Linked DNA regions of Drosophila melanogaster. The gene in region 2 interacts genetically with the main gene of each other region. Each region holds a gene or a part of one and is shown on either strand. Other genes may lie near its edges.

Evidence for each region.
Region 1: of PEK (region 2) and prel, changing one suppresses a phenotype caused by changing the other (phenotypic suppression), as found in Drosophila melanogaster (one study listed by BioGRID).
Region 3: of PEK (region 2) and Ero1L, changing one suppresses a phenotype caused by changing the other (phenotypic suppression), as found in Drosophila melanogaster (one study listed by BioGRID).
Region 4: of PEK (region 2) and sud1, changing one suppresses a phenotype caused by changing the other (phenotypic suppression), as found in Drosophila melanogaster (one study listed by BioGRID).

The regions. Positions count from the first base shown.
Region 1 is NT_033778.4:9,422,340-9,426,633, reverse strand, and holds prel (preli-like), read right to left. Parts: upstream 2,548-4,294; 5' UTR 2,368-2,547; intron 2,306-2,367; exon of another isoform or gene 2,303-2,305; 5' UTR 2,174-2,302; intron 2,096-2,173; 5' UTR 2,034-2,095; coding exon 1,719-2,033; intron 1,388-1,718; coding exon 992-1,387; 3' UTR 527-991; downstream 1-526. Other genes in the region: CG13955 (uncharacterized protein), read left to right, coding at 3,012-3,307, 3,366-3,668, 3,756-3,978, 4,058-4,216.
Region 2 is NT_033777.3:5,458,710-5,466,652, forward strand, and holds the start of PEK (pancreatic eIF-2alpha kinase), read right to left. Parts: upstream 6,045-7,943; 5' UTR 5,724-6,044; coding exon 5,506-5,723; intron 5,187-5,505; exon of another isoform or gene 5,084-5,186; coding exon of another isoform or gene 5,022-5,083; intron 4,412-5,021; exon of another isoform or gene 4,372-4,411; coding exon of another isoform or gene 4,343-4,371; intron 4,101-4,342; coding exon 3,365-4,100; intron 3,302-3,364; coding exon 2,141-3,301; intron 2,057-2,140; coding exon 683-2,056; 3' UTR 1-682. Other genes in the region: RpL35A (ribosomal protein L35A), read right to left, coding at 6,999-7,022, 7,091-7,318, 7,444-7,665. UniProt on the Drosophila melanogaster protein: Phosphorylates the alpha subunit of eukaryotic translation-initiation factor 2 (EIF2), leading to its inactivation and thus to a rapid reduction of translational initiation and repression of global protein synthesis.
Region 3 is NT_037436.4:4,168,602-4,174,351, reverse strand, and holds Ero1L (endoplasmic reticulum oxidoreductin-1-like), read right to left. Parts: upstream 3,949-5,750; 5' UTR 3,701-3,948; coding exon 3,560-3,700; intron 3,139-3,559; coding exon 2,875-3,138; intron 2,128-2,874; coding exon 1,442-2,127; intron 1,385-1,441; coding exon 1,076-1,384; intron 1,015-1,075; coding exon 963-1,014; 3' UTR 563-962; downstream 1-562. Other genes in the region: CG18675 (uncharacterized protein), read right to left, coding at 25-399. UniProt on the Drosophila melanogaster protein: Oxidoreductase involved in disulfide bond formation in the endoplasmic reticulum. Efficiently reoxidizes pdi-1, the enzyme catalyzing protein disulfide formation, in order to allow pdi-1 to sustain additional rounds of disulfide formation.
Region 4 is NT_033777.3:24,915,332-24,919,636, forward strand, and holds sud1 (sudestada1), read right to left. Parts: upstream 2,534-4,305; 5' UTR 2,433-2,533; coding exon 2,378-2,432; intron 2,179-2,377; coding exon 623-2,178; 3' UTR 509-622; downstream 1-508. Other genes in the region: PIG-S (phosphatidylinositol glycan anchor biosynthesis class S), read right to left, coding at 1-59, 116-255, 314-404, 2,378-2,432; CG11168 (uncharacterized protein), read left to right, coding at 3,321-3,424, 3,486-4,252. UniProt on the Drosophila melanogaster protein: Prolyl 3-hydroxylase that catalyzes 3-hydroxylation of 'Pro-62' of small ribosomal subunit uS12 (RpS23), thereby regulating protein translation termination efficiency.

The DNA.
Region 1 (4,294 bases), on a different chromosome or scaffold from region 2:
TCTTCGTGCGATTAACTATACTCGCAGTTATTTGTTTTTGCGCGACTTTGACGCGAACGGTTGGGAATTCGGATTAAGAATGCGACTCCAGGTGGCTCTGGATTCTCCAATGTTCGAAAGAACGCCGATTTTACCTAAAAGCTGCGAGCGCTTTTGCGTGGGAGAGCCGCAGTGTTGGAAACCAACGGAATTGCGTCACGGATCCGGTAGCACCGGGCCAGCTGACTTCTGTATAAAATATGGCAGCCTTGGTTATAACGAATATTTGCAGAGAAATAATTTAAAACCAATTGAAAAATATATACAAATGAATCAAATAGTACGCATTAAAAACCGATTAATATTAACAATTCATTATAAACAAGCTTTACTAAAAAATTAACCGCCCATAACAATAAAATAAAATAATAAAAAAATGAATAGATATTATAAATATTACATAAATTGTATAATATAAATATTATAAATTCTGTAAACATAAATTCTTTTATGACTAGACCCAGTTCAAAGAAACAGCCGTACATTTCTAACAGACTAAGTTTATTTTAATAACTACACTTTTAACCACTACAAGTGTTGGTTTTCTTATATTTTGATAAAAATATACAACATATTACATAGCAATACCAATTTTGACACGGCTTTTCATTTCCTGCTCTTGACCTAACAGAATGATACATAATAATGTAGTGCAAATAAGTAACGATAAATAATAGAATTTGGTAGCATGCAGGAAATGTGTTCAGCAAATTGTGTCTCCGTTCAGATCAGCCGTTTGATTCGCGCACACACGGAATGAAATGCAGCAAAGTATGTAGTTGGATTTGCTTTGGAATAAATGTTTAAAAACACCCGGCGACACGACTCCTCCGCTCGTCATTCTAATTCCGTCCTGGTCAAATCCACAAACTCCTTAACTCCCGGAGCCGAAAGCATTAAAATCTTCGGTCCCATTCGACATCTATTCCAAAAAGTACAGACTAGAAGTTCCTCAGTTCTTGACAGAAAACAGTTGCGCAATCTTGGAGGCATGACTCTTGAAGAACTCGTAGCCCACTTTTGCGGCGCTCTTGAGAGCTCCTTGGTTGTTGAGACTGCCGTTTGTTGTGGATACGGTGATGGTCGTTGCAGGAAGTTCTCCAGCTGGCGAAGTCGTCGTCACCGCGTGCTGGTGATGTCCTCCACCAACCAAACTGTCCGGAAACATGCGCCGCAGCACGTAGTTGAATCCATTGGAGGCCTTGTTGCCATTGGCCTTAAACCGTTCGATGCCGAAGGCGCGAATGGCCCGCGAGAATCCGAACACCTGCGAACTAATGTATGCTCTTCGCACCGCCAGAGTACTACCATCCTTCTGCTCGCTGTAGACGACAATTTCATCGACTTTCTAAAAGGAAAAAACAATGATCATTAATTAGGATTAAATTAAACTTGAAAAGATTAAGTAACATATTTCACATATTCACTAAAAGGGTGCAGTAAAATAAATCGAACAATAATCTTAACCGGATCCCGATGTTCTGTATGCGTTTCATGGGTTAAATATAACAAACAATGCCACAGCATTGACCATCGATCTGTTAGGTAACACTTATGCTTTTGTATTATGCCGGTATTTCGGTCATGCCCAACAGCTAGTGGCTGAATTCTTCTAGACATTTCTTTAAATTGATATGTGACCTATTTAAAGCAATCGTAGTAGGTGTGCGATCACTTGCCATTATCTTGGTCATTCCCAGGTTCCTGGTGAAAGTGGTGAATGTCTTTTTAACCGGGTCCAGCACGGAGTCCTCAACAATCTTGACCGGCACATTGTTGTAGAAGCGAGCTCCCCACTTCGGCACCGGATTCGTCTTGGAGAGCAGCCGGCGCGAGAAGAGCTTGCCATCGCGCACCTCCCGCTGAATAGTGTCCTCGGTGAGGACGTGCGTGCTTGAGGGATTCGGGTAGCGGTTCCAGTAGGCGACCACCACGTTCATCCAGCTGTAATCGAAGACCGTCTCCGTGCGGCAGGTGGATGCTGCCACGACCATGTTGAAGGTGGACCAATGAACTCGCCGATGTGTTCGAAAGTGAAAGCCGCCGTGTCCCTGATCTGAAAAATAAACCGATAATCATCAATAGCAATCGCATGTTTCCGGCTAAAAATAGATCGCCGAATCGATGGACGTACCTTTGCGAGGGGGTCCAAGAACGGGGGTCTCTTACGGTTTTAGAGCTCCAGAGTGCAGTGTGATTGGCACCAATTAGCTGGCACACGTTGATTCAGCTAGCAGCTTGTTGTTGCCCCGACTTTGGGCGCCTACTAAGAATTTAGTTGTGTAACTGCGTCACAAACTCCGGCACAGGGTGCTTCGGGTTCGTTACCTTCAATTTCTGGCAATTTGCTGGCGATATCCCTCGATTCCTGCGTTGCCTCGACCTTCAGTGCCCCCTTCTCCTGTCTGTACACGGTTTCATTGCTTGCTTTCCAAGGGTTTGCTGCCAATTTGGATACAATTTACGCCTGTTCAAAGGCCATCCGGAAACATCTGGTCGCAAAGTTGCCAGATGGTGCGTGTGCCAATAATACCACAATTTGCATTTTCCCAACTATTTAGTATTTTACGTTTGGTTTTGCGCCAAAACGTTTTCTTTTAAATTTCACTTAAAAAATGTTTTTAAGCTTTCAATATTAATTGGCAAATATGACAAATGTTCTTGAAATAACTTAAATCAAAGGTTTGCCGGTATTTTACTACTACATTTACTATGTTAAACTAATAAATTATGAATTTATTGGATGTTGGGTCATATCTAGTTTTAATTAAATATTTAATTATTTAAATTTCGAAAAATAAAATCTATTATTTGAGAAATAGTTATTGCAAATATTTTATTGCTTAAAAATTTATAAAATTAACTCACAAATAGTTGTCATGGGAATTTTTGAATTGTGCGGTGCTTAGATACCAGAAAACAATCAAAAGTTCACATAATTAAGTACAATTAGAATAAAGAAGCTCAAAAAAATGGATGTTGTGGAATTCCTCACACGAACCGATAGGCGCAATCTAAAATCTCAAATAAGTTTCCAGGTGGCGCAAAAGATGCACGAATGGCACGCGGATTTGGACAACCGTCGTTGGAACCTCTGTCTTCTTCTCCAAAAGGAAGCCTTGGAGGCGGATGAGCAGATTGCAGAGATGCTGCAGGCGCAGGCGGATGAAGCGGATCGAAAGCGACACGAATGGATCGAAATGGAGCGATTGAAGCGGGAGGAGGCCGAAATGGAGCTGGTCAAAGTAAAGAAGCAGCAAAGGGAGATGTAGGTTTTGAGTGTAGAATTTTAAGTCCTTTTCCATCTGAAATCACCTCACTTTCAGTGAGAACTCCGAGGCCCATCGTCACATGCTAACCAAGGAGATCCTGCTGGAGTCCAAGCAAGCCCAACTCCATCAAATCGAGGAGAAAAAGGCGCTCAAACGCCGCCAGGCCTGTGTGGAGATTCTTTGGCAGCGCGTCTGGCAGAGATTGGACGAAAGTAAGGCCCAGCAGGAGCAGCATGAGCTGAAACTGCGCAACTTGATTGAGAACAGGTGCCAAGCCCACAATCTAGACACTGATCGGGAGCAGAAGGCCCAGTTCGCCAAGGAGGTGTTGGCAGACCAACGGGAATGTTCCCAGGCGTGAGTACCAGGTTCCCTAGAGATTCAGTTAGTTAATATACTAATCGAATGGATTATGTTGGTAATCCAATCAACTACCTTTCATAGCCTGGAACTGGCTGCCGAAATGGATGTGCTCAAGAAACAAGAAGATCTGAAGAAGCTCAAGGATAAACGGCGCCAGCAGCTCATTGACTTGCAGGATCAGATCAAATGGAATCTTACCATCAGCGCTCGGCAAGCACAGGCCAATATCCGTGAGGATGTGGGCTACAACATCCTCGAAGACCGCCAGATTTACGAGGAGCTCATGGAGAAGCGTTGCGCCAGGGTGAGTTTGCATGCCCGCCTCCAACTGCCTTTCCTCTTAGTCACAATGCCAACAACCCAACCCCTTCTCATTGCTCCAGATTCACAATCGCGATTGGCACCAGCAGTACATGACGCACACGGCTGCCGAGCGAGCTGCTCGCAGGGAAGAGGATCTGGCACGGGATCGGAAATACCTGGGCACTGGGTGTGTGCTTGGCCAGCAGCCGAAGCAACCGTACGGCAAGGAAGTGCGCTAGTACCAGTGGTGGACACATCGTCATCGCCATTGCCATCGATCGATGGGCACGCACTCATGTCACGCCTCACATTTGAAT
Region 2 (7,943 bases):
GACAAGAATTTTGTTAACCATGAGTTTCATCACCTCTGCGACTTCCCTCAATCAGAAGTACGTACACAATTACTTAGTGGCCTATTGCGTATATCATTTATGTAAGACTTTTCAGCGCCTCAACCAATTTCATTACTACACACAATGTTGCCGCATGCGGCGACTGCTTTAAGGTATGCCAAGCGATTAGTCACAACCATTATCTCTATGGGCAATTAGAAAACATTTCCATTTCTATTTTTGACATTTTTATTTTAATCTTATCGCCTACGACTAAAAACAAACTCTCGCATTGGTTGGGCGGCTACATGGGTAGAAACAAACTAAGACAAACAATTTAGCATCGTAGGTAACTTAGGTAACTTAGGCTAACGACTGTTTAGGAGTACATCTTTATGTGTATGTATAATTCCTAAGGTTAAGTCTTAAAAACAAAAGGACATTTTGTTGGTAATTTGCGACGCGCAAGAGTAAAGGTAAACGTAATACAAAACTTATTGAATCTAGGGTTGCCCGGTAATGAATCTGCGACCTTTACGGGTCGAGGTCAGCGAATAAGGCATAGCCAGGTAAGGAATAAGCGATGGCGATACTGATGACTCACAAGCGAAATGCTATAAGTGACTGAGTTTGGCGCTGACAGAATGGGTGTCCAAGCTCATGGCCCAAATTGTCTGATCTATCACTGATGCGGCTCACTGGAGCTGCTGAAGGTGCGGCTGCGACTCAGGCGCCTGGCCCGCTCCGCCAGCTCCGCCTGCTCGCTTTGTCCTTCCGAGAGGAGATGAGGTAGCTGCAGAATGTTGCGCAGCTGGCTTTTCAACTGCTTGGTCTGCGGGCGTTGCTCTGGCTGGGCGGATAGCATTTGCTGGAGCAAGTCGTACTGCTGCGGGTAATTGACAGCGAAATCCTTGGGATACTGGCCGTCCCGAAGACTGCGCAGTGTCTTGATCCGCTCCATTTCAGTGCTGAAGTACACGTGCAGCTCGAAGAAGATCAGTCCCAGTGAATAGATGTCCACCTTGTAGTCGTAGTGCTGGCCCAAAAGCTGCTCCGGCGACATGTATAAGTGGGTGCCCACCTGCTGGGTGTGGCGGGCACAGGAGGGCAGGCCACTCTGGTCCCCACACTTGGCCACCAGGTTGGGGATATCGGCCATGTCGGTGACGAGCCCGAAGTCTCCAATCTTTATCTGTCCATCCTGCGAGAAGAATATGTTGCTTGGTTTCAGGTCCCGATGAATCAGACCCTTCAAATGTACATAGTCAACGGCATCAACGATCTGGTGAAAAATGTCACCAATGTGGGCAGCCCTTGTTTCCGACCGGTTGTCCCTTAACCAGTCGCGCAGACTCTCCTTGCGGCATAGCTGCATCTGGATGTAGAGGTACACCTTGCTGGGCTTGGCCACCGTTCCGTTCAGAATCGTGGCACTGGAGGGCGTAGGTTGGCTCCCGTTTTGGTTGTTATTGTGATTCTGGGCCAGTGCCAAGGTAAGGGGCTTCCTTCTAGCTTTATTATCGTCATTCGCATCATCACTTCCACTGCTCTTGGGGCGCACAGATTCGATTTGAAACGAATTGGAGACCAGTTGGTGCTGTGAGTAGTTTATGTTCTTAAGGTCAAACGAGGCCGAATGGATGTCAATGGACACGGAGCTGCGATGTCGTTTCTCATGGTCTCCCTGCTGCTCTTCATCCTCTTCATAGTCGTCGTCGGTATCATCCTCCTCCTCTGCCCGTAAAGCGGCTGACTGCGACTCGCTGCGGAATTCAATGAGCGAGTCCTCTTCCTCATCGTAGTCGTACTCCTCGCGTATGTTCTTGAGTGATGACTCGCCTGGTAGATGAAAGTCGTGACTACAAGCGGTGCTATTGGCTGCATCCGAAACCCAGGACAAGAGCTGCTGTTGGCGTTTCTCCTTCAACTGCTCCGTCAACGAAGGCATTGTACTATCGTCCGGCGTCTCTATCTGGATAGAGGTGGACAGCTCGTGGGCAAGCAGCTTGCGATCCTCTTCTTCCTGCCAACCAGTCGGCGGTGTCTCGGTCCAGGACTGGAAATTTTACAATAAAGAGTTTTATCATCAGATAATACTTAAAAACTTAATTTTAACTTTTAAATAGATAGAAGAACTTACATGGAAGTATCGCACGATGTTGTGGTGCTCACAACTAGCCAAAGTTCGAGCCTCGCGAAGGACTCGCTGTCTTGAAGATTCCTTATTGGGTAGCGTTATGCGCTTAATGGCGTATCGGTTCTCATCCAGCTTGTTCTTAGCTTCGAAGACCACTCCGAAACCACCGCGACCAAGGCACTGCATCAACTCGAAGTCGGACTGAAAGCGGGAAGTGTAATGCTCGCCTGAATGAGTTGTAGACTCCGAAATGGTGCGCTGATTTGCTTGTCCAGGTGGGAAGCTAAAACGATTTCCAGGTCGCTGCATCGGCACCACTGGACCTAGTAAAGCCTGTGTGGATGCTTCGGTGGCCTCGATGGCCGTTTGAACAGGCACATGACGTTCAATGACCAGATACTCTCGCTCCACGCGCTGGTTTCGTTGGCCCATGAAAATATTTAGAATCACAGCCGACGTAAATGCTATGACCACGATTTCCTTCCACCAGAACCACAACGACAATATCACAACCTTTACAGGCGCATCAATGTCATCCAAACTAAAGCCCAAATCGTCGTTGACGCTATGGTTTCCAGTAGCTTCCGTTCCCTCAGATGTGGCATTGGTAGGCGATGTTGGAGCTGTGATTGCTGGAAGGTCAGTTGGATTATTCTGCGTACTGCACTCTTGCGGGCCGTTCAGATCGCCAGTGGTGTAGAAGTAAAAACCATTGCCATTGACAAACTCCGATGCATTCAATACGGACTGCGCTGCCACAGCGAAGTTTTCATCATCATAGGGCACCAGTTCCCCTCCTTGTGCCACAGCTCCCTCAGCAATCATTTCAGGGTCCTCCTGGTCTTTCCGGAAGATTACCAGCGATTTGCTACTGGCGGATATCGGCTTCCAGGGAATCCTGGGCATCAGGCTGGTGTCGCCTGTAAGCTGCTGATAGACCTTGGTCTGGTCCATAATCTCCTGGCGTAGACGTATTGACTCCTGAATATACAACTGTTTATCGTACATGCCCAAGTAGATGGATGGCGGGCTTTGTGGCGCATTGGGCAGCTCCGTGTCATTTTCGTCCTGGTCCCAAAGCCACTGGGCCGAGCTAAACAAATCAATAGGCTGCAATTCGTCGTCGGCATTTGTATTCCAGGCACTCACAATTGGGTGATCAAACTGAAAAGCACACGAAAAGTACTAAGTAAATTTGCCTTTAATATTAAAGCCATCACCACTTACCTTGTACTTCCACAGCATAGTCTGTGGCTCACTTTTGCTGAAGGCGCAGATAATTCCCTCGGGCACTACCACCTTTATATCCACATCCAAAACAGCCAGCTCCAGCTCATCGCGCGGCTGTAGCTGGCACTCGGAAGGTCTCACCAGATCCAACTCATGCTGACCTACGCTAAAGTTCCAACGCTCCACTCCGGTCCGGGATTCCACGGCCCGAACCGTTTGTGTCTGGCGGCGGACGATAATAACGTCGTCAAGGAGAGGATCATGGCGCACTATGTAGCCGGCCTCGTCCCTTAACTGTTCTCCGTCCTCCAGCTGATCCTCCTCATCGGGCTCCCTAATGGTGTCGTCGATTGCAAGCCCTTCCTCCGTAGAGTTTACACATCCGTTTAGAGAACATTCATACAGCAGCTGGCCAGTGCGAACGGAAACACCGTATGAGCGTGTCTCCTTGCCTCCGGATATAACCAGATCATCGCTGAATTTGGCGCTCGAGCTGAGTAGGTGCTCCGCCGTGATTGGAATGGGATCGATGGAGTCCCCGTCGAACTTGTAGATGCCGCCGCTCAAAGAGGGAATCATGCGTACGAACTGCCCATTGTTGGTCAGCTCCAATCGATGGATGCTGGACGAGATTAGTGGCCCCGGTCCGGTGGGCACACTCCAGCGCAGTTTGCCGGACTTGGCGATGTCCAGAGCGCTCAGTCGACCATCAAGCGTGGAAATGTATAGGAGTCTGTGGATAGAATAAATAATGCAATACCAAGTTTTAATGTTTTTATTTCCATATTTAATAAATAAATATCGACTACTCCATATTAGCTAATAGTCCATAATGGCGGAATTTGCCAAATTGTTATTTTCGCTAAATGATACCGTGTCAGCGTAACAAGGATTTTGTAGCTTGTGGAATTTAGAGTGGGCGAGGCCAATATGTTTTTAAAAGCCGTTCTTGTTAAATATAAGAATACCGTATACCCTTTATGTAGGTAATATCCAATTACCATGGGCGAGCTTGAAATAAACAAACACAAGATTTTGAAGAAAAAACAAAAAACACAGCATACATAGATTCAAGTAATGATTTGATTTTTATGTAATATTTTCTATTCGTGCAATTAATGTAAAAATTGAATTTTCTGTAAGTGAGTAAGCCTTTGGTTAACTGTTTAAAATATTTCAACTCGAAAGATTAAATACTAGAGTTAAATTTGCAATTATACAAAAAGTTGATTTGTGCTTGCAACCGATTCCGTCACCAGGTACACGGTGCATGGGGCAAGAATAAAGGAAAGCAGGAAAAGGGGCACACTGGCAGACCCAGCTGACAGCGTAGAAAAGGTAAATGGGAAGTAAACTCAGCTGTTTTTGCGCCAAGAAGACAAGAACTCGAGGAACAACAAGTGTCAGTTGGCCCCTCTCCATTTCCCCTATCGCCATCTCTGTCGCGCCCACCAAGGAGCCGAAAATGGCGCCCGCAAAAAGGGGGGATAAAGCAAACGGGGGGAGAATTGTGAAATTCAGTGAAAACCTTGCACAAACGCAAAGGAAAGCAAAACAATCGGGGAAACCAGTTCGGATTGGCATGCTTGCCAAACAACATATCTAGACGTCTGCCTCAAACAAAAATTCAGTTAAGATCTTGCAAATGACTCACCGCATGCTTGATAAGCGCGTCCACTGATTACGGGTTTTCATAGTTGGCCAAGGTGCAAACATGTGGGTTCATATTATCAGATCGCTCCCAGACTTCAAGTTGAACAGAAGCTCTCCGAATTTCTCGTGTTAGACGGGACAAGGTACTTAAAGCTAAGGGCCGTCGCAAATGTTACCAACTTGTCGGATCAGCCGAGAATTTTGAGCTACGTATTTTCACTGGCCCCCCGTCGTACCACAGTTCTCTTCGAATTCCCCGTTTTAGCTGATTAAATAGGCACTTTTCGAGTAGTTCAACCAAATATCACTAACGTGTTCTTCGCAATATTTGCCTAGGTGCTGGCTGCTCGTTTATCCACTTGCACCGCGTTTTAGCGAATGTTCGAGAACATAAACATAACACACACATAACGCACTCTTCTTCTTCTGCTACAATCCATTCGATACCAGTGCATTCCTCCCGATACTTTGGTTAGGGTACGTACCTTCTTGCAACGCGACGCTCCTCCTGATCTACGCAGTGTTCGAGCCCGGGGGGACGGGGAGATCCGGCAGTCTGGAGCTCCGAATCAGTAGTTGGGTGCCCAGCTAGCACCTGGGCGGGATCGAAAGCCACCAGGCCGGCCATAGTGAGCGTGACGATCTGCAGGAAGCTCAGGCTCCGGCGACGATGCCTCACGATGCCATCCAGGTCGTCCTGCATCGTACGCGCATATAACGTAATCCTGGTCGTTGGCGATCGGACGCGGGGAACGGTGCAGAAATGCAAGTCTCTAATTGGTTCGAACGGTGACGTGTTGACCTCACTTCGGGGGGTCGGTTGGTGGAACAGCGGCGGCAGTGGCTCCCGGCAAGGTCGGCGCACATCTCCGCATCACTCTCGATGGCTCCTGCAGCAATCAATCGCAACTCCACTATTTAAATCCACTAAAACTGGTCAGTTTATGTTTTTGTTCCGATTGGGCCGCAAAACGCGCGATTGCAAGTGTGACCGCGTTTTGACAGCCTTAAAATAACAGATGACACCACAATACAGTTTATTTCGTCATTACCTAAAAGTACCAAAAAAATACACACGGTGGGAACAGTTTCACTAAGGTTTTACTATTTTAAACTTTTCCAGTAACTAATTTAAAACAATGTTTGACGCCCATGTTTTGACACAAATAGGGACAACTTAACAATAATTATTAAAGTAGATGAAGTATTATTTCCATCTCATCTCTTATTGAATACTTCTATTATTCGACGTGTTTTAAAAATAAATTCTATTCGGCTATAATTCTGACACATACCAAATGAAATTCAAACATTACTTTAATTTAAATATGCTCTACCTTCTAAAAATATGTTAGGTGGTATATTCGTCATAATATAGAAACGTTTATTACAACATTTATTCTTTTTAAAAAACTTTTGATTACTATGAAACCATTTCCTTGATTTTTTTAGAAACCGCATTGTTGATTAACAGAAACTTGAATTCGTATGATTTTCGAGCAGAAAGGCTACGCCATACACCCCTAGTGTCCTTGCGAAAAGATTCGTTAGTAGTACACACTACAGTATTCGTTGACTTTGGCAATACAAAAAATAGTTTTGAGATTTTCAAAACTAATTAAAATCTATTATGGTAGAAGTGGTATGTCTGATCTAAAGGAACGACATTAGCCAAGAGTCTCGAAATCCACATTCAATTCGTACTCTAAAACGTTTCCATCGTCTTCATCTGCTACTTAAGATCAATATAAATGGATTTTAATGCGAAGTGGATGGTCCCGCCAAAAGATAATTCATTGCAGTAGGGAAAGTCAAACCGAACAGCCATCAATCGATATACAGATTACCGTCAACTTTCAATCGGTATCTCGCCTTAATAAAAAAGCCAAGTTGCGTTTTAATTAAATTTAAAGTGTTTCATTTAATGTAAAACGGATTTTTTACTCCTGCAGGTCAGTAATTCAAGTCGGATATTAACTTAAATCCTTGATGGGTACAGCATCTGCAAGAAAAAAGAAGGCATGTTAATACAACCCAATTGTCGGACAGAAAAGGTGTGTTTGAACTAACGATGCGGATGCGGTGGCCCATGGCATGACCGGGCAGGTTCCTGTTGAAACGGGCACGCACAGCGCCGGTGTTGCCGTGGATGCGGGTGACCTTGCCCCAGACAGCGCGGACGCGGGTCTTGCGCTCGGGATGCTGCGGCACGCACTTCTTGGTCTCGGCCTTGTAGACATAGACGCAACGCTTCCCAACGTAGAAGGATCCGTGCTCCTTGCGGCGGGCGCCCTCAATCTGCAATGTAATATGTTGGTTAATCAATTACATTACTAAAATGTTTTTACAGAACTGGAATGTATTAATTATTATTTGAAAAACTCTGTGAAGTCCGGACCCATCACATTGAAGTATAGACATACCTTGAGGATGGCCTGGTTCTCGTGCTGGTTCCTCAGACCACGCTTGTAGCCGGTGAAGACGGCCTTGGCGAAGAGGCGTCCGTGACGCTTGTACTTCTTGGCGGAAACTTTAGCCTCTGAGGCGGCGGGCTTCTCGGCCTTAGGCGCCTTGACGGCCTTGGGAGCCTTCTGGGCCTTGGCGGCCTTGGGCGCAGTAGTGGACTTGGCTTGTGTGTCGGCCATGGCTTAGCTGTGGATGAGAAAAGATAATCTTTAGAGCCGTAGGCATTCATCATAGGTATTCGTTGGGGCTTGAGGGTTTCGATCATTTGCATGCATTTGATTAAACGAAAAGTACTTTAAACATTGAAGATATTGAGGTGCACAGCTCTGGGCAACAGTACATTAAAAACATCATTTTATATAAAAATAAAGCGGAGTCTGGTGAAAATTCCTGTACCCGACCGGCCTGGGGCAACATTTAATGATAAAAACAAAAACTGATAACACGGATCACTTAT
Region 3 (5,750 bases), on a different chromosome or scaffold from region 2:
GGATAAACTTCGAGGAGACATTACCCGATCCACCATAGCCTTGGCGTCGTTCATGGCACCTGCCAGGACCTTTTGCATCGCCTCAGTTGGCTGCTGTCCGTTACGGCGAAGGAGCGGATCCTTGTTGATAGTGAAACCACCAGACGGGATGCACTTATCCGCCCAGACATCCTTAAGCTTGAGCTCTTCCCTCTGTTCCTCGTTGAGGCCAATCATTTCAGGCGGCACCATGGTGCCATGTTCGGCCAGCTCCTCAATCTCCATGCAGACACGCTGAATCTTCAGTTGACCATTGTGCAGAGCCACAAGCTCGCGAAGCACAGTATCAGTCTTCTCCTTAACGCTTGTCTCATAGAGGAAGATAAGCTCGTCTCCGCGTTTCACCTGAAGAAGCACCATTTCGCACAGAAAATATAGTCACAAGAGCAATCAAGTGTCGATCGACTGGATAGCAATTTGCTAATGTCACAAAAGCCGACAGCTGGAATGGCAAACAACTCGGTTGCTAGGACCCGTATCGATGGAGACGTTAGAGAGGGTGTTTCAAAACAGACAGAAGTTTATTTTAGCGCCTTGTGTCGTAAGGTCTTGGTATTGCACAATGCGTTTACTTGCTCATTAAGTTCCGCTCACAAACTCCTCCAGATACAATAAATACTATGCTAACTTACAATAAACACCTGCATCCTGCATGGGTTATTTTTTTGTCATTTGGTTTTTTTTAGGGTGATACGGTGCGCTAAAGTACAAGTAGCCTAGGGTAATAGTTTGTATGTACAGGGAAGCAGCTATCCTGGGGTTACTAGCCTCTGGCCTCAAAAATGTTACGAACTATGGGAGGGAAACCGCATTCAGTAGGAAGTCCAAGACGCAGCCCCAGCGATGTGCGTATGAATTAACTAGCTGCTCATGTGAGGCGAATGAGATCCGGCTCGTCGCTCGGTTAGTCCAGTCTGGATGGGTTACCTCAGCACGCACCGGAAATTCTCCATCTCGTATATACTGTTGGATAGTCTGCAAGCAAGTGTATAGATGTAAGTATTTTAGAAATGCCATTTTATCATTTAAAACGCACCTGCCAAACGCATTAAATAGAGCTACAATCTCTGTTCGCGACAGCCTGAAGATGGGATCCGCTTCGATGTGCGGCTTGTCCCACAACCCGCTTTCCGTGGCCAGATTGAGCTTCTCTGAGTAGAGAATCTTTAAAGCAGTACCCAATCCCTGCGTCTGCAGCTTCCCCCACAGTTTGCACTTGTCGCAGCCTACGCAGCTCATGATGCGGGATATGTTTCGGAACTTTTCCTTATAGTCGTGCTTGAACTTAATAGAAGCGATTCCATTACTGAAGAGGGCGTTCTCGTCGAAGTGGGATTGAAAATTTCTACAAAAAGAAGCTAAATTGAAACATTGTAAGAAAAAAGAATATTCCTATACTCACTCTATGACACTCAACATATCATTGATGGCTAGTTTAACCTCATCATCCTCCTCTGCGATGCCCGTGTAGTAATCTTCTCGCCGCAGATAAGGAGCAGCCTTAGCCAAGGCGCGCAGTTCTATCAGATAGATGAAGTAGAGGTTTCGCAGCCAGTGCGGACCTTCACCGCTTGTGGTTTCTGGACTAAAGCGTCGTTTAAACTCCTTTACGTTGGGACCCCAGATGCCCTGCGGATCTAAGAAGTCCTTTGACTCTGACAGCAGGTATTTGGAGCACAGATGAATGTTGATACTAGAGTGCAGGCCAGAAATAATGCGATAAAAGGCACGCTGCTCCAAGCACACATTTCGCAAATCCAAATGAGGCACGTAGTTAGAGAACTTGTTAGCCGTCTCGTTGTTGCCACCGAAGCAGTTCTCCAGATAGATGCTCTTCCAGATGCGATGTGCCGATTCGCCCTTATAGCCGGTGTACCGCTCAGGATTTAGGAGCAGATCCACATACTGGGATCCCTCCTCATGATCGTCCACGATGCAAAAGTCCTCTTCCGCCTCATCATGCTTCGCCCACAGTTCGAATTCCCGATGCGCCTGATCACTTATGCTCGTGTCCAGGAAACCCAGAGAGCTGTCGAAATCCTCTCCATCCGAGCACGCTGAGCCCCCAACTTGCGCCTCGCGCGTGTACTGTAAATACAAGATGCAGATGAGGAAGTCAGTAAGGTGAAGTGAGCCAGTTGTGCAAACAAATAAGCTTAAGTTTTAAGTCAGTCATTATTTCATTGATGGTTAAGTAATCTTTGAAGAAACAGATAAAGCTTTTCACAAATATATCAATACATTCTTGAACGGCATTATCGGTATAAATAATTATCTATACGTTAATAAAGTATCTGGTAGATAATATGGTTTTGTTTTTTTTTTGCTATGTACGAGTATCAATTGTTTTTTGTTTGTGAAGATAAGAACCTCTGCTGTTAAATACATACGTATATTGAACTGCATTGTTTCTTTTTTTTTTTTTTTTTTTGAGTTATCTTTAAAAACAATAATTGATTTTCATTCTCATTTTGGGGTATAGAATTTTTGTTTATAATATTTTACTGTATGGTATAGTCTGCTAAGGAGTGATCAATATTTTAGATAAGTTAATAAGTTAATCGACAATTAAAAAGGGGCGGGCAAACGCTTGATGAGATGTGAAGACCACGTCAGCATTGCAAAACAAAATCAAAGGCCACATCATTAACAGTGTAGGCTCAGTTGAAGATTATCGATGCGGTTCATTCTTGTGGAGCCGCAGACATTCGAATAAAAATAAATCACCTGCAAGCCCATTGAGTGATTGGGTAGATAGTGGTGATTTTGGCAAAAGATTGAATAAGATAAGAGGCGTAGTGTAGACGATAGCGATGGAAATACCCGGAATCTTACTTTAAACGCGGCCTTCTCCTTGTGCTCTCCCTTGTCCTTGATGCCCTGGGGAATCGCTTGCTCCTCGCAGTTCTCCACCTGGCAGAAGCGCATCGCACAGCGACTGTCATCCGGCCAGAAGGGGCACTCCTGCCGCAGGTTCACCTTGTAGAAGCGGAAGAAGTTCTTCACCAGCAGACTCTGCAATCGCGGATAGATTTTCATGTTGTTAAAGTGATCCACCGTGTCCACATCGCAGCTGCAGTCGTTTATAGATCCCTCCAACTGCGAAGAATATAAATATCATACAGTCGAGGTGGCAATAGTAGGTATACAAAAATTTGATCTCAAGTTAGCTGAGTACTATACATATACTAGGTCAAATATTATTAGTGAAGCAAGTGTAATTAATTAATTATCACAAATAAATAATTGAGTATTCTGTACGTTCTGCACTGCAATTAAAGCAAAACTAATATAAGCACGAATTCTTTTTTACTAATCTCCAGTATTTCAACTACATACTTTTCAGTTTAAAATACAATTTTAAAAGCCTTTTTTTAAGATCTAAGTAGAGATCGTTAAAGGATAAGCAAATGATGATGAAATCAACTTCTTAATATTTTTGAAAAACATATTTTTAAATGGCTTAAATCATCAATTAATTTTACCGTTACTGTGTACAATAATCCGAATATTAACCCACCTCGCAGAAGCAGTTTTTGCTAGTCTCCGTCTCATCGATGGCTGCAAAATAGCCTCCAGTGGTGTCCGTCCAGAGCAGGAGCAGAACTAGGACCACCGCAGCGGAGGCCCACAGATTTCTCTGCACCGTGCGTGTTGTCATTGTGTTTTGATGTGAGTGTTGCTATTGTTATGACTGTTGCTGTCACTGTTTTTGTTGTTGCGTGCTCAGTTGTTTTGCGCTTCGCCGACGGAGTGCATCTGAATCCGATTTCCCCACCCGTGTGATTTCGCACCTGCGATTCCGAATCCCAATTTCACGAGTTTAGCGAGCATTTGCGTTTCGAAGCAGCAACATTGTTCATTTACTTTCGATTCATGATTTTGGACACGTACCTGGCGTTTGTGTGACCGCACGCGCTAAGCGCCGAAACGTACTAAAAAATACCACACTTGACGAGCGAAGTGCGGTCACTCAGCACAGCAGGTGCTTTTCAAATGGCCAATATTTCCCATTAATATAAATAATTTTATTTCAGTAATTTTTTTCGATTCGCAAATGAAGTATTCGAATATTTCTAAAAATTTTATATTTCTTTTCTAAAAGTTTTGGTTAAATGTTAAATAAGTAATCAAAATGTAATTGACCGTAAATATATAAAAAAAAGATTTTAAAAATAATCTGTTAAAAATTTGCCCATCAGATATTTGTTATATTGAATTTACGATATGTTGAAATTTCGCGCCATTTTTTTGAAGCAGAGGCAACCCTCTTCCCAGGGATGAAACATTTTAAGGGAAGAGGTTGCCAGATCGCGTTATGGAGAACAGAAATAAAACCGCTCGATTTGAATTAGCAGAATGAGAATATTTAATAACAAAAAATTGAGAGTGAGCTTGATTTAAAATTAAATAATGTAAAATTTTTCAAGATCAGATATAAAAATGATGAAATCGAGGTAAACCACTTTATTCAACAATTTATTTAACAAAGTATAAAAAAATAACTTTTTGATGAAAACCAGTTCATTTCTGATAGTTAAAAAATTCGGTTAACGATATTTAATTAAAATATGAAATATGAGCGTAATAACTTTCCAAATGACTTCTAGCGATAAAATTCAAGATAACATTCAATCGTCAATCAATTGATTGGTAAATGTGAATATCGTTATGGATTTCCTCGTCTCCAATATTGATGCAGTTAATTAATTACCTCAAATATTGATTTCGGCTATTCTTCGGCAATGAATGCGTCTTTTGTTCCCATGACAAACCCTTGCCCCGACGATAGCACCCCTCAAAGGAGCTCGCGACCCTCGATATGCAAATTGAGAAAACTCGGTCAGATCTTGGATCGAATCCTTTCGAGCCCAAGACCATCATCGTTCATCACGCCGGGGGGTGAATTGCTTAGGATGCTGGGCACGACGATGCAGGCACCTCGATTATTCGAACATAAATCGCCTTAGGTCGTTTGGAAAGTAGATACCAACCGCAACAGGATGGGGTCTATCATTTTAATTTAGTTACATCTTAGAATGTAACAAAGAAGCTACTTAATTTTAAAAAAAAATCAAATTAGTTACAATACCTAACTAACTTAACTAATTTATCAATTTTAAGCATGTAGATTATTTAAAACATTACATTAAAATTATTATACGTTAATGTGAACACCAAAACTCTCACGTTTCTTTTTCTTTATTCCGGTTTTATTCGAAATAAAACTATTTTTTTGCTCCCAAAAAAAAAAACTTCTTTTGTGTCCCACCTGAGCATCCTATTTCCATCAGAACCCATCAAAAGTTCTCACGGAAAAGTGAAATTACAACAACGGGATGACTTAAGCAAAAAAAAAAAAAAGATGAACCTCGAAAAAAACGGGGAAAAATCTTCGAAAAAAATGTACCGAACGAAAGGGTTTAATCATTTTTTTTTCCAAATAGGACGATTAATGCAGAAAAAACGCAGACGCAAACATGTGTGGCCAAAGGACAGGGCGGCGACCCTCGGCATTGTTCGAATTGAAAAGGAATCATCGCGGACTCGGGCGAGCGATTTGCATACGCAGGACGAAGGACGCAGGACGAAGACCAAACCACCACCACCAACTCCTTATCTATTTGCCTGAGGTCCTCGGGACCAGGTATAAAACTCGCACAGAATGATAAATCCTTTTTTTTCTCGTTTTTTTTTTTTGATGAACTTTT
Region 4 (4,305 bases), about 19 Mb from region 2:
GTGTGCTTCCTGGGTCATTGGCGTAGGAGATAGCTGCTTGAATTCCACAGACCATATTTCTAATGGGAAATGCATGCCGTTTAGAAATATGAATGGATAATGAATTTGCACCTACCATTGTCGCTGAAGGCGTTCTGCAGTTCGGCGATGAGCAACTGGCCACGACTGGTCTGTTGTGTGTAGATGGCCACCTGCACAGCCGTTTTGATCGGAATTTTACTCAGACTCAAAATTTCCGTCGAGGGCAAATTGACTCTGCGATTGCAACATTTAGGTATAATTGGAAAAACGCCGCCAGACATGGTTGACTCACCTGTAGACTGTGGTGGTGCGCCACCACATGGGCACGCCAATTCCAATGATGACCACGATAAATGCTAGTGTAGCCCCGATCCGGAACTTATCTGTAAAGTTAAAGAGAAGTGTTTGATTAGTTCCTGATTTATCGCGGTCGTAAGCGTTCTTTGGGTTCACACTTTATTACTTCGACAAAAAACTATAATATTTTGATTTGTGTTTTATAAAGTTTATTATGTAAATTAGTTTCTGTACAGGAGAACGGTATGAATGTTAATAGTCCTTGACGAGTAATTGTGCGCATGTTGTGAAACAGGATCACATGCTACTCCTTGTAGCTGCACGAAATAACAAAAACAGGTCCCTTTTCAAGGGGCGTGTTGCGCGACACGTATTTGGTGAACTTGGTGGTGCCCTCGCACCGGTATACTATGTTCAGGGCGTTGTCCACCGGCGTGATAGTAAGCAGAACGGAATCGTCCTCTTCCTCGTCATCGTAGTCCGATCGCCTTCCGTCCGTCGGTGCTTTTGCTGTTGGCATTTCGGCGTCGGGTGCGAGGTATGTGATCACCGCTGCTCCTTCTGCCGCGTTCAGGTAGTAAACCAGGTCCAAAGTGTTCTCCTCGCTGGTCAAACCGTCGCCCAGCACTGTGTAGTTGCCGTGGGACCAGCGCTGCAGTTCCACGCTGCATGTTGGACTTTCGGCATCGGTGCCTGCCAAATCCAGATCGGTGAAATCTCGCAGCAAATCAAACATGGCGTGGCTACGGAACAGTTGCAGTAGTTCCAGTATGGTGCCTCTGGCTGTTGTCAAATCCAGCACTTCATAGTTGTGTGCGTTTGCGGGTCCCTGTCTTCGCCACTTCAAGGTATCCGAATCGGCCAACAGCTGCGACCGGGCCAATTCGAATTTCTCTCGCTTGAAGAACTCGTATAAACAAATCTCGGAGTTTTCTTCGATCCGCTTTTGGATGCTCCGGCGGGTGGCCCCCTTTAGATACACGTTGTTTAGAAACAGGCCAAGCGGTGGCCTATTAAGGCCATCAGGTTGCAGGTAATTCAGGCGGGGAAAGGCGCGCAGGGAGTCGGCCACGAAGGCCTCATTGGTATCGCCGTGGAACCATCCGTTTATGGTAAGACGCGGGTAGTCGAATGTAGTAACCTCGCCTACTTGGTGGAAGGAGCGCGAGCCCACCTTGAAGAAGGCAAACTGGTTGTCTTTGGGGGCGATCTTTCGCTGCACTGGAAACTGTGGAAAGCACTGATCGTCGCTACCGAAGATCTCTAGGCATCCGCCCTGCTCATCCGTCCATTCCTCCGCTCCTTCCCAAGGCGATAGATAGTAAATGAAGGCCACTTGTCGGTCCTTAAGCAGATCGTCGTGCACGAGCAGATAGTCGCCGCAGGTGTACATGCTGCAGGAGGCGGACACATAGTCCAGCTTGAGGTTGGTAACCTTCTCCAGCCAGGGACGCACTTGTTTGCGCAGCACCTGCAGGAAGTTGGTCAACAGTCGGCAAGCGGGCATGTTGGAGAGGTCGGCGCTCTGGTAGAACTCATACAAATCCATCTGTTTGCGCGACCACTGCACCTTCTGGATGATCTCGGCGACCAGCGCCTGGCTTTGGCCCTTCTCCAGCATGCCGGGCAGAAGGCAGATTTGAAAGGGATCCGAGAAGACCTGAGCACCGGTTTGCGTCTCCTTGGTCCCTTGGCTCTTCTCCTCCGTCCAGGCTGTTTGGAGCCACTTGGTAAGTTCCGGTTGCTGATACGCCTCGTTCAGGAGCACTTCGTTCGTTTCAAGGATGTCGCCCAGGCGCAAAAGCTTCCTGTGCGGCTCGCCCACCTGATCTGCGGAATCCTCCTGCTCTGCACGACCATCTGCAAGGGCAACATAGTGAATGGGTTTGCATTAAGCGAGGCAAACAGGGGCATACCTTAAACTTTAATTTGGCTATTTTTTACGCACACCAGCACTCACACACGCGTTATCAAAGGCAAAGGCAAAATCAAAGGCACCGATGTGCCGGCACACCTCGCTTTATCGTTTTGGGGCAGATTTCTCACTGTTTCCACTTACCTTCGTCCTTGTCTTTTCTCCTGGGCTTTACTGGACTGGAGCTCGAGGTTTCCATGATGCTGTGAGTCAAATTTTCGGTTAAAAACGTGAATTTTTGCCAGGGAAAATAAAAAAATTGGCTTGTGCAGCTAGAGATGGTAGCTCGGAAATATCGGTTGTTCTGTGCAAGTGTTGGGTAGTTAGCTTATTCCACGCAGTATCAAATACCTAGCTAAAGTTTAGTAGCTAAAAACTTTTGGCATTATATTGTAAACAATAAAGGGCGTATATAAGTAATAATATATAATATAATAATATATTGAAGGCATTCAGCATTAGCATTCAACTCACTAATCACACTTTCATTTTATACTGATCATCACTGATTGTACGTGAGTGTCGTGTGTTTCGTCGTCGCCTCACGCCTCCATCCCTAGCCAATTAGTAACGAACAATTGCTCGATCGGCTCCACGTAAATAAAGTTTAGATCACAGCTTTGTTGATTGCTTATCGCGGTGGCAAATATAGTTATTCGTTTATGGCTGTAAACTTTCGAAACGGACGTGGACATAGCCGGTAAATTAAAACTTGAAGATAAAACCTAGCTGGTGACAAAGAAATTCCAATTGGAGCAGTCCAATGCCGTGGAATGACCTTGGAAGAGGCGGAGCCACCATTCAGCCCTCCATATTATAAACAAAAATACTATTGTGGAATGTTCACAGCTATTTTGTATAAAAAAAATATTTGGCTATCAGTCTGTGCGTGCTAGGGCCAAACAGCTGATTCCGCCTGGCTGCCACCTGATTTGTTGGGGGTGTGAGTGGGGCTGGGGCTGTGGTATTCTGTATGCTCGCGATGATCTCATTGTGTTGGAATCGGAGCAAAAGCTAAACTAAACAACTTGACATGTGTTCTTCTGCTCCTGTGTAGCTACCTAGTGTTGGAGGATACGGAGGAGCAATGGGCAAGGATCAGCATTTGCTGGAGGCTTCGCGAGCCGGCGACATCAAGACGGTGGACAAACTGCTGGAGCACTCGAGCAAACGACATGGCCCGCTGTCCAGGTGAGTCACCAGCAGCAACTGTTGTTATTCCAGGTAGTTTACTACAGGTTTTCCTTTACAGTTTTAGGCGAAGTCCCAGCATCAACTGCCAGGACATGAATGGCTACACTTCGCTGCATCACGCCTGTCTAAATGGGCATAGCAACATTGTACGGCTACTACTCTCCCACAACGCGCTGTTGGATGTGCCTGATATACGTGGCTCGACACCTTTATTTCTGGCTGCCTGGGCTGGGCACCAGGACATCGTCAAGATGCTGTTGATGCACTCGCCTACGGGAGCCAATCCGAATGCCCAGACTATCGAAAACGAGACGCCGCTGCACTCAGGCGCCCAACATGGCCACAATGCCGTGGTGGCCATTTTGCTGTCCTATGGCGCCGATCCTGCCATACGCAACAATAGCTTTCAAACGGCTCTGGATTTGGCAGCGCAATTCGGACGCCTTCAGGTGGTTCAGACCTTGCTCCGTGTTTATCCCGACCTCATATTGCCGTATAAGCGTTTGGAAGATGACAATGAAGAGCTGCTGGGCTGCATGCCCATAAAGCACATATTCACGCACACCTGCCTGCACCTGGCCAGCAGGAATGGGCACAAGAAGGTGGTGGAAACACTGCTGGCGGCCGGCGTCGATGTCAACATACTCACCAACGCTGGAAGCGCTCTCCACGAGGCGGCTCTCTGTGGCAAAAAGTCCGTTGTGGTCACTCTGCTTAAGGCCGGTATCTACGTACACGCCACCGATGGAAACGGACGCACAGCCCTGGACATACTCTCCGATTATCCGCCGCATGTGACCTACGACATTGTGGGCGCCATAAACGGTGCGTACGAGTAAGAAGTAGAAGAAATACAATAAAGGGGCTATGGGTAGTGG